4 linked regions of the Saccharomyces cerevisiae S288C genome follow. Changing the gene in region 1 together with any one later gene gives a genetic interaction. Each region holds a gene or a part of one and is shown in the gene's direction. Other genes may lie near its edges. The genes, in order: RSA3, RVB2, RBP95 and CKB2.

Region 1 (3,876 bases):
AAATATGGTTATTAGCATCCGGTGACACCAATGGTATGGTAAAGGTTTGGGATCTTGTTAAAAGGAAGTGCTTGCACACATTACAAGAGCACACATCTGCTGTGAGAGGGTTGGATATCATTGAGGTACCAGATAATGATGAGCCAAGCCTAAATTTACTTTCCGGTGGTAGAGACGATATCATCAATCTCTGGGATTTCAATATGAAAAAGAAATGTAAATTGTTGAAAACACTTCCAGTAAATCAACAGGTAGAGTCATGCGGATTCCTAAAGGATGGTGACGGTAAACGCATAATTTATACAGCCGGCGGTGATGCTATCTTTCAGTTAATTGACTCTGAATCTGGTAGCGTGCTTAAAAGAACCAATAAACCTATAGAAGAGTTATTCATTATTGGTGTACTTCCAATATTGAGCAATTCACAGATGTTTTTAGTATTGTCTGACCAGACATTACAACTAATTAACGTTGAAGAAGACTTAAAGAATGATGAAGACACAATACAGGTCACTTCGAGCATTGCTGGTAATCATGGTATTATTGCTGACATGAGGTATGTTGGCCCAGAGCTGAATAAATTAGCTTTAGCTACCAATTCTCCATCGCTTAGGATAATACCCGTCCCCGATTTATCAGGCCCAGAAGCTTCGCTGCCTTTGGATGTCGAAATTTATGAAGGTCATGAAGATTTGCTAAATTCATTGGATGCTACTGAGGATGGCCTGTGGATCGCAACCGCCTCTAAAGATAATACGGCTATTGTTTGGAGATACAATGAGAACAGCTGCAAGTTTGATATTTATGCCAAGTATATTGGTCATTCAGCTGCCGTAACTGCTGTTGGATTGCCAAATATAGTTTCAAAGGGATATCCTGAATTTTTATTGACAGCATCGAATGATTTAACAATTAAGAAATGGATAATTCCAAAGCCAACTGCTAGTATGGATGTTCAAATCATCAAGGTATCCGAATATACTCGTCATGCCCATGAAAAGGATATCAATGCTTTGTCAGTTTCTCCTAACGATTCTATTTTTGCAACAGCATCATACGACAAGACCTGTAAGATCTGGAACCTAGAAAATGGTGAATTGGAAGCCACGTTGGCCAACCACAAGCGTGGACTATGGGATGTATCATTTTGCCAATATGATAAATTATTGGCAACTTCTTCAGGTGATAAAACAGTCAAGATATGGTCATTGGATACATTCAGCGTTATGAAAACATTGGAAGGTCATACCAATGCGGTTCAAAGATGTTCGTTTATTAATAAGCAAAAACAACTGATCAGTTGTGGTGCTGATGGCTTGATCAAAATATGGGATTGTTCTAGCGGTGAATGTCTGAAGACTTTGGATGGTCATAATAATAGATTATGGGCTTTAAGTACTATGAATGATGGTGATATGATCGTAAGTGCTGATGCAGATGGTGTTTTTCAGTTTTGGAAAGATTGTACGGAACAAGAAATAGAAGAAGAACAAGAAAAAGCTAAATTACAAGTCGAACAAGAACAATCGCTTCAAAATTATATGAGCAAAGGTGATTGGACAAATGCATTTTTGTTAGCAATGACTTTAGATCACCCAATGAGGTTGTTTAATGTTTTGAAAAGAGCTTTGGGCGAATCAAGGTCTAGACAAGATACCGAAGAGGGCAAAATTGAAGTCATTTTCAATGAAGAATTGGACCAAGCCATCTCTATCCTAAATGATGAACAGTTAATTTTGTTAATGAAACGATGCAGAGATTGGAATACAAATGCAAAAACACATACCATAGCGCAAAGAACAATAAGATGTATTTTGATGCATCATAACATAGCAAAATTGAGTGAGATACCCGGAATGGTAAAGATAGTTGATGCAATAATTCCATACACGCAAAGGCATTTCACAAGGGTTGATAACTTAGTTGAACAAAGTTACATATTAGACTACGCGCTAGTGGAAATGGATAAGCTATTCTAGGCAGTAAGTCCAAGATATTGAGCCTTTAAAAGCAAGGCAATAGCAACATATTATTTTGTAAACTAGATATATAAAGACAAAATGCATTGATGAAGCGGAAAGCTTAAAATAATTCGATATATAATTAGGTGCCTTTACGGGCATTGAAAACTTCTTTGCGCGAAGAGCTCATCACTAAAAATTTGCAAAAAACGAAGAGCGAAAACTTTCATATATTGTAGTAATATATACAAGAATTTAAACTGCCCACTTGAAATAGCACGGAAAGAACTAGCCATAATATATTATACAGGATGTCGGCAGGTGATATATCAGCCATAAATATCAAGTCTGTCAAAAAAAACAGAAGGAGGAAGAAGAGAAGAACAGCTGATGTTTCATCATCAGATTCTTCATCATCGGATCCATCATCAGAAAGTGAAAAGGAGGAAATCCAAAATGGGGCCATCGAAGAACACGTTGGAGAAAATGGTAAAAGTGATCATGTTTTCTCAAAAGGTAATGACGAAGACAAACAAGAGGACATTGCAATAGAAGTTTCGGATGTCGAGCTTACAGACGAAGAAAGCAAGGATTTGAAGTTAAATTCAAAAGAAGTGATAGACGATTTAACCAAAATTTCTTTGAGCAAGATCCCAGAGCCTACGAAATCTCAAAACAAGGAGGGTTTTATGAATGCATCGAAAATTGCCGAAAATATCAAGCTTGCGAGAGAAGAATACAATGAATTGGCAGAAAACTTTGTGCCCAAAGGGAAAGACAAGACAAAGTTAAGGGAAGAATACTTAAATTTACTTTTTGAAAACTACGGTGATGATATCAATCGTCTTAGAGCTGCCCCGGATTTCACGAATAAATCACTATCCATTTTGGCAGATGCTCTGCAGGAAGGCATAGGAATGTTTGATATTGGTGAACTAGAATTGGTCTTGAAAAATAAAGAAATGGAGAACTGAAAAATATTGCTTTAAATCTTTTTCTAAAAGTTTGTCATGTTTCCGCGGAGAATATATTGACGTGCACATTAATTATTTAGATAATTCTTCGATTTTTAATGAAGAGCGGTCCTGATCCAAGTTGTGCTTCATATGGTATAAAGCTGATTCCAGTATACTGCACGAGAAGTATATGTATGTATTTTGTAATTTATATAAAGGCAAAAAAAAGAAAAACACTTGGGCATAATGGAGGAGAAGATCTTATGACCTGATAGTCAAAGAGAAAAAGAAAAAAGCAGAAGGAGCAAAGAAAGGCGGCGACCAAATGACGAATTAGATCCAATGAAAAACGATTCAATGCGAATAAAGGTTATCATGGATCACCTGATGGGCCTCTTGGCAATAGAAAAAGAAACTAGTTTGAAATTCATTAATATAAATAAATTTAAAGAGGAGAATATAGAAACAAATTAAAACGTAAAAGAAATGTATGTCGAGAAAATCCAGCCCAGTTCCAAGTATATAGCAAAGCTTCTCAATCCCAAATTTCTTTACAATAAATATGTATAGTGTTGTTACTTTACACTTAACCCAGTAACTTAACAAAGAACCAAGCCGCACCTGCTGCTACACCACCCACAACAACCATTTCAACACCTTCCGTAACTTTCTTTGAAGTCGAACTGCCACTACCCATGGATAGTTTTGTCTTTACGTAACCAAACCAGAATAATGTTACAACCATGACTATTATAGAATAAATGAGACCTGTGCCCACATCTGAGACAAAAAAATATGGCACTAGTGGTACTAGCCCACCAAGTAGATAACCGCCACCGATAGTGACTGCACTGATTAGTTCTCTATTCTCGGCAGGTTCGTCTAGACCCCTACCGTACCTGATAATGAAGTCAACCATTAGCTCAGGTGTTCTTTGTAAATCTTTGATGAACGAAACG
Region 2 (3,517 bases), on another chromosome or scaffold:
GATTTAATAATTGGCTGGTAGTAGGCCTTTGTATAGGATCCACTTGAATGCATTTCTTGATTACACTCAAAAGCCCCTCAGAAAATCTGGAATTTCTCGGGAAACTGTACTTACCAGTGTTTATAGCGTAGGTTAAAGAAGCTCCATGTATCTGCTCTTCTCGCTCAAAGGGGGAGATACCGAACATTAAAGTATAGAACGTACAACCCAAAGACCAAATATCAACCTTAGAGCTCAAAACCTGATTTAATTTCAAGTTCAGAAGTTCTGGTGGAGTATATGGCAACGTACAATTGTCATTGACCCATTCTTGTAGTTCGCTGAGTTGATGTCTGTTTTCAATTGTTATATCAGCTTGAGAGCAGGAGCCGAGGTCACCAATTACTGGTAAACCGTCTGAAGAGAACAAAATGTTTGAAGGTGTAATATCGCGATGTGCATATGCTATTGAACCTGCTGAGTTGGAGGAAAGCATGTCCATCTCTAAGGGGGTGTCTTCTAGGAGCATCGCCGTTTCATCGCTATAAGTCATAGAAACCGCATCGACATTTACTCTGGAAGTAGCGTTATCTTGTCTTGACGCAGGATCATGTAAACAAAGTAAACCTCTTGTAACTCCAAGCATTATCCTTACGCATTCTGCCTCTGATACAAAGGTGCCCTCGAGTAACCTCCGATTAATAGAGTCTTGTAAACTCCCTAATGAATAATAGGGTAGTACTATGTAAATTGTTTTTGACCCATCTTTTTCCTGCATTACTTGTGAGTCGATACTTTTTATAACATAAGGACTTTGAAACCGTTTGTAATTTTCAATTTCTCGCATACCATTGGATATACTTTCCACACTAGGACAAATAATCTTCTTTAGTGCGTATAATTCTGGTGTTGCGATGCCGTTGTCTATAATCAGAGAATTCTTTGACAGTTGTACCAAATACACAAAGGACATTCCACCTTCTCCAAGTAGTCGTTGAATCCTATATCGTTTATCATTTACCCTAATAGTAGCATCGGAAAATCCGCGACAGCAGCACAAGTTCTGGAACAATTCCAATACAATAGAAATCATTGATCGGATAAGATGGTACAATCGTTATTTTATCCCTAGTCAGTCGCTGAGATTACAGGCTCTTTTTGTCTACTCTCTGTTTCGTCTTTTTGGAGAAAGTATGGTTCAACATCTTACAAAACCAGATACCGAAAATGTCCCTAACTCGGTGTCATAAGACAGGACTTATCAAAACAGAAAGGATCTTGCAAAAAAGAAAAAGAGCAAATTATGTAAACTTTGGGGGTCAACACAGTTGTATCAGTCGTATTGGTTAGACCCAATATAGCGGTTTTCTTTACTTCTTTGTTTCTACACTTATTAAAGTCTATTTAACTCCCTTTCACGTGATCAGTTTGAAAGAAACGTGAAAATTATTTTTTTCAGCGAACTTTTTGAAGGTTTTCAATAGAAGATGAAAGCTAAATGAAGACTGTACATTCACACGGGAAACGAGAGAAAGAAGTTCAGTTAGTTGAAGCCAGCAATACTACTTTCTCTAGCAGTCTAGCACAAGTTACTTTGAAAGGAAATAAAAAAAATTGTCAGCATGTCGATTCAAACTAGTGATCCAAATGAAACATCAGATTTAAAGTCGTTATCTTTAATTGCTGCCCACTCCCATATTACAGGTTTAGGTCTAGATGAAAACTTGCAACCACGTCCCACATCCGAAGGTATGGTTGGGCAATTGCAAGCCCGTCGTGCTGCTGGTGTGATATTGAAAATGGTTCAAAATGGCACCATAGCAGGTAGGGCTGTTTTGGTAGCGGGCCCCCCTTCAACTGGTAAGACCGCTCTTGCCATGGGTGTTTCCCAGTCTCTGGGTAAAGATGTACCATTCACTGCTATTGCGGGCTCAGAAATCTTTTCTTTAGAATTGAGTAAAACTGAAGCACTAACTCAAGCTTTTAGGAAATCCATCGGTATCAAAATCAAGGAGGAGACAGAATTGATTGAAGGTGAAGTCGTGGAAATTCAAATTGATAGATCTATTACTGGTGGACACAAACAAGGAAAATTGACTATTAAAACTACCGATATGGAAACAATTTATGAATTAGGCAATAAAATGATTGATGGCCTAACTAAAGAAAAGGTATTGGCTGGCGATGTTATTTCTATTGATAAAGCTAGTGGGAAGATTACCAAGCTAGGCAGATCCTTTGCTAGATCTAGGGATTATGATGCCATGGGTGCTGATACCAGATTTGTTCAATGTCCGGAAGGCGAACTGCAAAAAAGGAAAACAGTGGTTCACACGGTGTCACTGCATGAAATTGATGTTATTAATTCAAGAACACAAGGATTTTTGGCATTATTTACTGGTGACACCGGTGAAATTAGGTCAGAGGTAAGAGACCAGATAAACACAAAAGTGGCAGAATGGAAAGAAGAAGGTAAAGCAGAAATTGTTCCTGGTGTATTATTTATCGACGAAGTCCACATGTTGGATATAGAATGTTTTTCCTTTATAAATAGGGCTTTGGAAGATGAGTTTGCCCCAATCGTCATGATGGCTACAAATAGAGGAGTTTCCAAAACCAGAGGGACTAATTACAAATCTCCACATGGGTTACCTCTCGATCTTTTGGATAGGTCAATTATTATTACAACTAAAAGTTATAATGAGCAGGAGATTAAGACAATTTTATCTATAAGAGCACAAGAGGAGGAAGTTGAACTGTCATCCGATGCCTTAGATCTATTGACCAAAACAGGTGTGGAAACTAGTTTGCGTTACAGCAGTAATTTAATCTCTGTTGCTCAGCAAATTGCAATGAAGAGAAAAAACAACACTGTTGAAGTGGAAGATGTCAAAAGGGCTTATTTGCTATTTTTGGACAGCGCTAGATCTGTTAAGTATGTTCAAGAGAACGAGTCACAATATATTGATGATCAGGGCAACGTTCAAATATCCATTGCTAAATCAGCAGACCCTGATGCCATGGATACTACGGAATAAGCATTTTGTACTTTAAGGCAGAAATTGCATCAAATATATATGTATAAATAAAAATTTTATGTTTGCGTGATTGTTGGTGATAAGAAGTAAAAAAGTACACCTAAAATAGGCAGCAGTTGGCCAGCACGTTCAGAACCCCGTATGATATACCTTCTTTCGAATAATTATCGATTATCAAATGTATAGATAGCAGTATTATAATATATACTATATTCTATACATATATGAAGGGGGTTGGTGCGTGTATATGAGAAAAAATTTTTTTATTGTAATTATTTTTTTTTTTTAAACTTTTGACTCATTCAGAGCCTCTAGTGTTCAAAATCAAAGCTACAATCATACCATATAACCCTAAAACTTCAGAGAAAATTAGAATCAAAACGATACCGACAAAAAGCCTTGGTTGGTGCATATACTTTCTAACACCAACGTCACCGACCATACCAATGGCGTAGCCACTACTCAAACAGGCAAATCCCACACAGAGCCCACAACTCAAG
Region 3 (4,135 bases), on another chromosome or scaffold:
TACCTGCATGATCAAATCTTTTAAAGAGTCCCAGGATTTCACAAGGTAGGCACCTTTACCGCCTTCCTTTTCACAAAACTGTAACCACGCTGGACCATTATCAGCTTCAAAACTCGAGATTTTATCCTTTGGGATACCAATAATCTTTTCGGTAATTTTTATGAATTTGGAAGGATTTTCTTGCGGGTTTATTAGCAGTACACCATTAGTAGATGGATGTAATATGGACAACAAGTCAGTCTCACTATCCCCTATATACCAATAGCTGCAAGAATTTCCTTCTTTATTGCAACCTGAGTCGATCTTATCTAATATTTCACCCAGTATCTTGACCTTATCAGAGCCTGTCAATAACCGACAATCAAATTCACCATTGTAGCTTTGAGAACACTTGTCACTAACTTTTTTTAGATCGTTACAAAAAATATGACTATTTTTAAGTCTTCTGTCACCAATGACTTCATGAATAAACTCTTTTGACCAATTTATAGATAAAACGTAAAAATCACTTTCAAAATTTTTGACAACTGAAGAGCAAAACGTTTTGAAACCATCTCTTAGTAAACAATCTTCGTGATTCTGATCTCTGGCGAACGTTTTCATTTGATCCAAAGAAATCGACTTAAAAATCTGTTGTTTTGTAATTTCATTTACACTATTTAACTCAACAACCCTGTTATGATTTTGATATTTTAATTCGTCCGCAAACAACTTATTGAAGTTAGACTGCGAAATTATCGTAGGTACGCCTGAAGATAACAACGGCAGTGATCTCGTTCCATTGTATTTGTATTTATGGTATCCGTCCATATATGTCTTGGTAAAATGACCCCACTCAGGTTTCAACCGCGGGTTCAGTAGATACGGTAATTTAGCAATGGTGCAGATTGTGTCAACTCTTGTGATTGTTTCATCAAAATCTGAAATAATAATGGTTTTCATATCCTCCACTGTTCGCTTCTGGTTACTGCAATTGTTAAATGCATTGGCTCGATTGTCAACATTGCTTTGTGCGAAGAAAGGTCGCTTTTAAAGAAAACGATAAGAACTAACCTCTAACTACATAATAATAAGAAAAAAGTATACAGATAAACAAGCTCAGTAGTAATACATAAAATAAAAAGTTTTGCAAATCGATTGTCCACACACTTCTATATCAATTCCAACTAAGAAAACGAAGGAACCGACTCAAACCGGTGTAAAAGCTAGGCTTTCAATCTCTGCTCCTCCAAACAAAACTAGTGCTTGATATCACATCCAATTAAATTACGTAAATAATTTTAGAGTGACACCATCGTACAAAGAGGGCATTAAGCTTATTTTTTTAATTCTTATGAAAAAAAAAATGTGAAAGAGAGTAGAAAATTTTCATAACGAATCTCTTCTATTCTTATGTACCGTTCCGCCAAATTTTTCATGAAAAAATTTGGGAAAAAGAAAAAAAAAAAAAATAGTATATAAAGTAAAAAAGATGCGCAAGCCCGGAATCGAACCGGGGGCCCAACGATGGCAACGTTGGATTTTACCACTAAACCACTTGCGCTAGTAATCTTGATACATGATTCGAGAAAAGCAACAATATTATGTATACGGAATATACTAGGAGTTCTCTTCAAGGATAGAGGAATCCTCAAAATGGAATCCATATTTCTACATACTAATATTACGATTATCCCTTCTTCTATTTTATATGTTTCATTATCCTATTACATTATCAATCCTTGCACTTCAGCTTCCTCTAACTTCGATGACAGCTTCTCATAACTTATGTCATCATCTTAACACCGTATATGATAATATATTGATAATATAACTATTAGTTGATAGACGATAGTGGATTTCTATTCCAACAAGAACATCCTTGAAAGGTCGACTATTAACATAAGAATAAGAGAGAGTGTGTGGCCGATGCTGTTGCTATAGCTCGGTCGTAGTTTAACACCACGGCATTATTCAGCTTTAAAACAATTGAATTATAAACCTGCTTTTCTTACTACGAAAAGTGTTTCCCTTTAATAAATCTATTGTACATACTTTACAGTTGATAGTACCTTCACCATAAAAATATGCAAACGCTTTTGTTATTGGGAACAGGAATACCAACCGTTCTCATGGAAAATAGCAAAGTGTAAAAGAATTTATTATCATCGAGTGATAAAGAATATCGCCAGATCTTTACGGATATATATCGCTAAAAATATTTGTCGCCAATAAAAGATATGTCTAACGCTCCCTTTGCAGGTAGTTTTTTACTGGCATCGCCTTTTTACTGCAAATTATTGAAAATTTTCGAGCGAGAAAAAGGAACGAAAAGAGATGAGCTAAATTCAAATATCAAAGTACTGTCATAAGTGCTTTCTTTATCGACAAATTACAAGCAGAAGAAACATTCACTTCACAATTAAATGTCCGAAAATCACGTTCCTGCCTGGAAAAGAATTGCTTTGAAGAGACAGACTATAAGCAGTGGTGACGAAAGTAAAGAAAAAGGCCAATCCAATCTAATAGATGATGATCCACTAAATATCACTACGCATTTATCCACTGGTAATTTGACAAAGAAAGAGAAAAAAAGAATCATTAATGGTGAGAGCAAATCCTCTACCAAAAAAGGGAAGCGTGTGTCGAAACCAGGGACGAAGAAGAAGGAAAAATTGTCAAAGGATGAAAAGAATTCGAAAAAAAATAAAATTCTTAAAGATCAATTACGTTACCTGATAGAATTTTTCAGGACAAAGTCTGAGAGCAAGTTTCCCACCGGAATCCTAGAATTGGAAAGTGTAAAAGAAAATTACGGCGACTCCCTGATCAAAGACGAGCCATCAGAGTCTGGTGTTGTTGAAGTTTGGAAATTTTCCAAGCAAAAGCAAAATTGGCTTATTAAGCATTTTTTCAACTTGGACGAAATCCCCTCAGTATATAATGATCTTTTGCTTTTATATTTCAGGGACTTACAAGGTAAATCAAAAGAAGAACTAATATCAAAATGCAAAGGAAAACTGAAGCAATGGAACGACTATGTGGAAGATCAAGAAACAAAAATAAAAGCGTTAATTGCAGAGGATAAGGCTAGCGAACCAATTAATGGTGAAGAAAAAGAAGAAGGTGAAAAAGACGGTAATGCCGAACAAGGGAAGCAAAAAGAGGTACAAGACGAGCAAGAGGAAGTACAAATGCCGAATAAAGAGCTTGTTCAAAGAAGTCTGAAATTACTAGAAATTTGGAAGAATGATGACTCGGAGCAGATAGAACTTAAGAATTTCTTCGTTGATGTTTAACATAGAGTTCAACAACGTTGTTCAGTTGTAGTATATATTTTACTGTGAAATACGCTCAAAAAGTAGCGGGATAAATCGTTTCAGGAAGTATAATTTCTTACAAAACTATAACAAGATCGTCTAAGTAACATACATAAAGAAATCACATAAATTTTTAAAATTCGAGGTCAAAAAAATCAGGTGGATACATAACTTACCTTAAGTTATCAAGATTTTCAGTACACACAATGTGATTACACTGATTTATAAAACCACCTTACGGCCTCTTATAAGTAATAACGTGGCTCATCAAAAACATGGTAGAAGTGACCCCTCTCACCTTCGCCTAAAAACTTATCTGGAAATTTCATGTCCTCATATTCCGGTTCACTCATATGACCGTATTCATACATAGAATCCGAGTGCTCTACTAACGCTTGCTCACTCAAAACTTGGAACTTACCAACTTGTAGCTCCGTATCGGTTATCGTTCCTCTTGCAACTCTAGCATATCCTGTTCTTCTCAAGCCCCTATACAAGATATACTCACACCATCTATCATCGTCAGAAGGATCAATGTCGTGCATTCCGGATGTTTCACTAACGTACGTATTGTAGTTGCCTTCACCTGGATCAACAACTAAGTAACTTAATAAAATAGCTGGGCGAGTCGTATTGCCCATGAGCTTAGCCATGTAGTTACTTTGCAGTCTTCTATCCTCTTCATCCTCTTCTTGTCCACTATGGAATACAAAGACGTCAACGAGAGTGTCATTGTACGTTTGAAGTGTGGCATGAATGGCTGGCGCAAGTTCCCCAACTGGAGAGGGCAATAAATGATGCGTAGAATTTACGATAGGGAATTTAGAAAGAAGAAC
Region 4 (3,127 bases), on another chromosome or scaffold:
ACGTATTGGGTAGGAGCAAGCCGGTATCTAAAAAGTCAATTGGCTGTAGCTCTTTTTTCTGCTTTTTGCTGCCAGGGGCAATGTTACTTGGAGTTGCCTCTTTTGGCTTTCTCTTCAAATCCCTTGGCACAGTGTATGATGGAGTGTTGAATTCCATTGATGTGCTCTGGATAGTTTTGATGCCATTAGTTTGATTGTTAGCCGTTTTTTTTTTGGTCGGTTTCTTGCCCACGGCAGATCTACCAATATCGTTTGGAATAGGTGCTGCGCTTGCAGATTCTTCTAATTTGATGTTTTCTGGGAAACTTTTCGGTATTTGTTCTGCTAACGGCTCTTCAAGCTTTGGAAGCTTTTTGTTTACTTCTTGTAACGATTTGATTTCCGTTTGAGGCAATGCTACACCTAAATCCTTCTCTTGGAATGCGAATGTATACAATGTCGCGTCGTTTGAAATGGCAAACAAGGTGAACCCATCCTGTGACCAAGACATATCGTTTATTGCGGTGGAGGAAACCTGGAGAGCATTAAACAAAGGTTTCATTCTCTTCGTATTCCAAACCAAAATAGTACCGTCTGTAGATCCCGAAGTGGCGATTAAATTATAGCGTGTGCTGGTGCCCTTTTTCAAATTAGGCTTTTCATAAAATGCTGGAGAATAAACAAGAACTCTACATCCATTTGAAGAAGGTGTTACCAGTGTTTTTGTAACTTTGTAGTTGTTATTTCTGTCAAGTAAAGCGGTACAGCTGGTAGCATTATTCGGCACACCTTTCACCGAGTTTATCACTGGTAAAATGTCTGCCTGAGGTGACATTGAGATTCTATAATGTAATGGATACATTTGTACATGCTGCGTAAGTTTATTTATGAGTTTGTGTGTACCCGTTTTGTTAATTTGATAGACTAAAATTGATCTATCTGAAGTCATAACAGTAAAAGTTTGGCCAGTAGGATCTATTATGCCTGTAATAGGTTTGCTCGCCTTGTCAATAGTTATTTCAGAGAGTTTATCAAAGGTTTTATGCCGAAATAATAGTATCTTATTTTCATTACTTAAAAGAACAAATAAGATACCTAAGTTTATGTCATATTTCACATCCGTTATTGTGCTTGGAGATTTACACTCGAACAGAAGCTTACTGTTCATTTTTTCGACAGAATTGATGTTATTTGTATCTCTACAGAGCCAACCTGAATAACCCCACAGACGATGTTCAGATCCAATATACAATGTTTCGAGATCACCTGTTATGAAAAAAATATCACCGGTAGTATCCTGATCCACCTGGAAAGAAACTTCTGGCTTTAAATCCTTAATCATAACCCTATCGAATGCAGTATCGACTAGTTGTTGTTGTCTCCACGCCATCACGTGACCCCCACTGCCTGCCAATATGATATAGGGACCAAGGGCAGCTAAGGCATTCACTTGTTCATTATGAATATCCAAAGGATACTTTAATAATCTCATTGTTCCGGATTGTGTAGGAACTCCTTTGCTGCGTGGCGTATTCCTCTGTATGGACGATTTAGCACTTTTTGTATATTGTTTTATGAAGACTTCATAATTCTAGCCGAATTAACTGATATTTTTTTCGCGCTTTTTTTTGTCGACCTTCCAGGAAGAAAAAATATGAAAGCGAATAAATGGAGGTGTATTGGCAATCCTTTATCAAATGAAAACAAGCACCAAATAGAATAAGTAAATCACATTCTTAAAGAAGTTGGTCATTCCAGATACGTGGAATTTTCCTGCTGTATTTTTTCATCAATCTTTTACTTGAGAAATACTAGCTTTTTTCAAATTATTCAAGATTAAGGGACTTAGAGAACTGATAGAAAAGCAGATCATGGGCAGTAGATCGGAGAATGTGGGAACAGTGACTAGAGAAGGCTCCAGAGTGGAACAAGATGATGTCCTCATGGATGATGACTCTGACTCATCGGAATACGTGGATATGTGGATCGATTTATTTCTTGGGAGAAAAGGCCATGAATATTTCTGTGATGTCGATCCTGAGTACATCACTGATCGTTTTAATCTGATGAACTTGCAAAAGACAGTTTCAAAATTTTCCTACGTGGTACAATATATTGTGGATGATTTGGATGATAGTATCCTAGAGAATATGACACATGCCCGTTTAGAACAATTAGAATCAGATTCCCGGAAGCTGTATGGTCTCATCCATGCACGCTACATTATAACTATCAAAGGATTGCAAAAAATGTACGCTAAGTACAAAGAGGCGGACTTTGGAAGATGTCCCCGTGTGTATTGTAATTTACAACAGTTGTTACCGGTTGGTTTGCATGACATTCCTGGTATAGATTGTGTCAAGTTATATTGTCCATCTTGTGAGGATCTTTATATACCAAAATCATCGAGACATAGTTCCATTGATGGTGCATACTTTGGAACAAGTTTTCCAGGTATGTTTTTGCAAGCATTTCCAGATATGGTACCCAAACACCCAACTAAAAGATATGTTCCAAAAATATTTGGATTTGAATTACATAAACAAGCTCAACTGACAAGGTGGCAAGAACTACAACGACTCAAGTTAGTTGAGAAACTTGAATCCAAAGATGTTGATTTGACGAAAAGTGGTGGTTTTAAAACCTAACTATTAAAGAAAGAAGAAAAAATTCGAAATGAAATCCTAGGCGAAATTGAAAACGAAAATGAAAATAATGGAGAAACTTCGTCATAAAATTGTGAAAATCAGGTATCATTTGTTCTCCTAGCATTTTCTTTCCTAGAATATTACTATTTTCTACCTCCATTCGTATTTTACTTTTCCTATTTAATATTAAATTTTTATATACCGTTATTGCCCCTTACGGCAATAATACAACCAGATAAAAGAGCGTGCTCCGAAGTTAGCCTGTTATATATCAACAATTTGCAAATGTGGTTACCCACGAATTATTGGTGTTATTTTAGTGAATAGCTTGAAATCTTTGAATGTAGGAAGCATCCTTATTTATCAAGAAATTGGAGAAGTGGCGGCATCGCGTGGAGACTGCCTATGAACTAAGAGGCGGTTTATATTTTAAAAACTCAAAAGCTGTTTGAAGACTAATCTGGAAGTACTGAAAAGAGGAGATTTACTCATTCTTTGGT

Evidence for each region.
Region 2: mutations in RSA3 (region 1) and RVB2 impair growth when combined (synthetic growth defect), as found in Saccharomyces cerevisiae (2 studies listed by BioGRID, with this or other methods).
Region 3: mutations in RSA3 (region 1) and RBP95 together harm fitness more than expected from each alone (negative genetic interaction), as found in Saccharomyces cerevisiae (5 studies listed by BioGRID, with this or other methods).
Region 4: mutations in RSA3 (region 1) and CKB2 together harm fitness more than expected from each alone (negative genetic interaction), as found in Saccharomyces cerevisiae (3 studies listed by BioGRID).

What each region holds. Positions count from the first base shown.
Region 1 is NC_001144.5:577,421-581,296, reverse strand, and holds RSA3 (Rsa3p), read left to right. Parts: upstream 1-2,272; coding exon 2,273-2,935; downstream 2,936-3,876. Other genes in the region: U3 snoRNA-associated protein UTP13, read left to right, coding at 1-1,979; CCC1 (Ccc1p), read right to left, coding at 3,504-3,876. UniProt on the Saccharomyces cerevisiae protein: Required for efficient biogenesis of the 60S ribosomal subunit.
Region 2 is NC_001148.4:101,631-105,147, forward strand, and holds RVB2 (RuvB family ATP-dependent DNA helicase reptin), read left to right. Parts: upstream 1-1,601; coding exon 1,602-3,017; downstream 3,018-3,517. Other genes in the region: putative serine/threonine protein kinase ENV7, read right to left, coding at 1-1,072; VMA11 (H(+)-transporting V0 sector ATPase subunit c'), read right to left, coding at 3,316-3,517. UniProt on the Saccharomyces cerevisiae protein: DNA helicase which participates in several chromatin remodeling complexes, including the SWR1 and the INO80 complexes.
Region 3 is NC_001135.5:141,229-145,363, forward strand, and holds RBP95 (RNA-binding ribosome assembly factor RBP95), read left to right. Parts: upstream 1-2,405; coding exon 2,406-3,278; downstream 3,279-4,135. Other genes in the region: CTO1 (Cto1p), read right to left, coding at 1-942; CWH43 (Cwh43p), read right to left, coding at 3,545-4,135.
Region 4 is NC_001147.6:403,918-407,044, forward strand, and holds CKB2 (casein kinase 2 regulatory subunit CKB2), read left to right. Parts: upstream 1-1,850; coding exon 1,851-2,627; downstream 2,628-3,127. Other genes in the region: HIR2 (Hir2p), read right to left, coding at 1-1,471. UniProt on the Saccharomyces cerevisiae protein: Regulatory subunit of casein kinase II/CK2.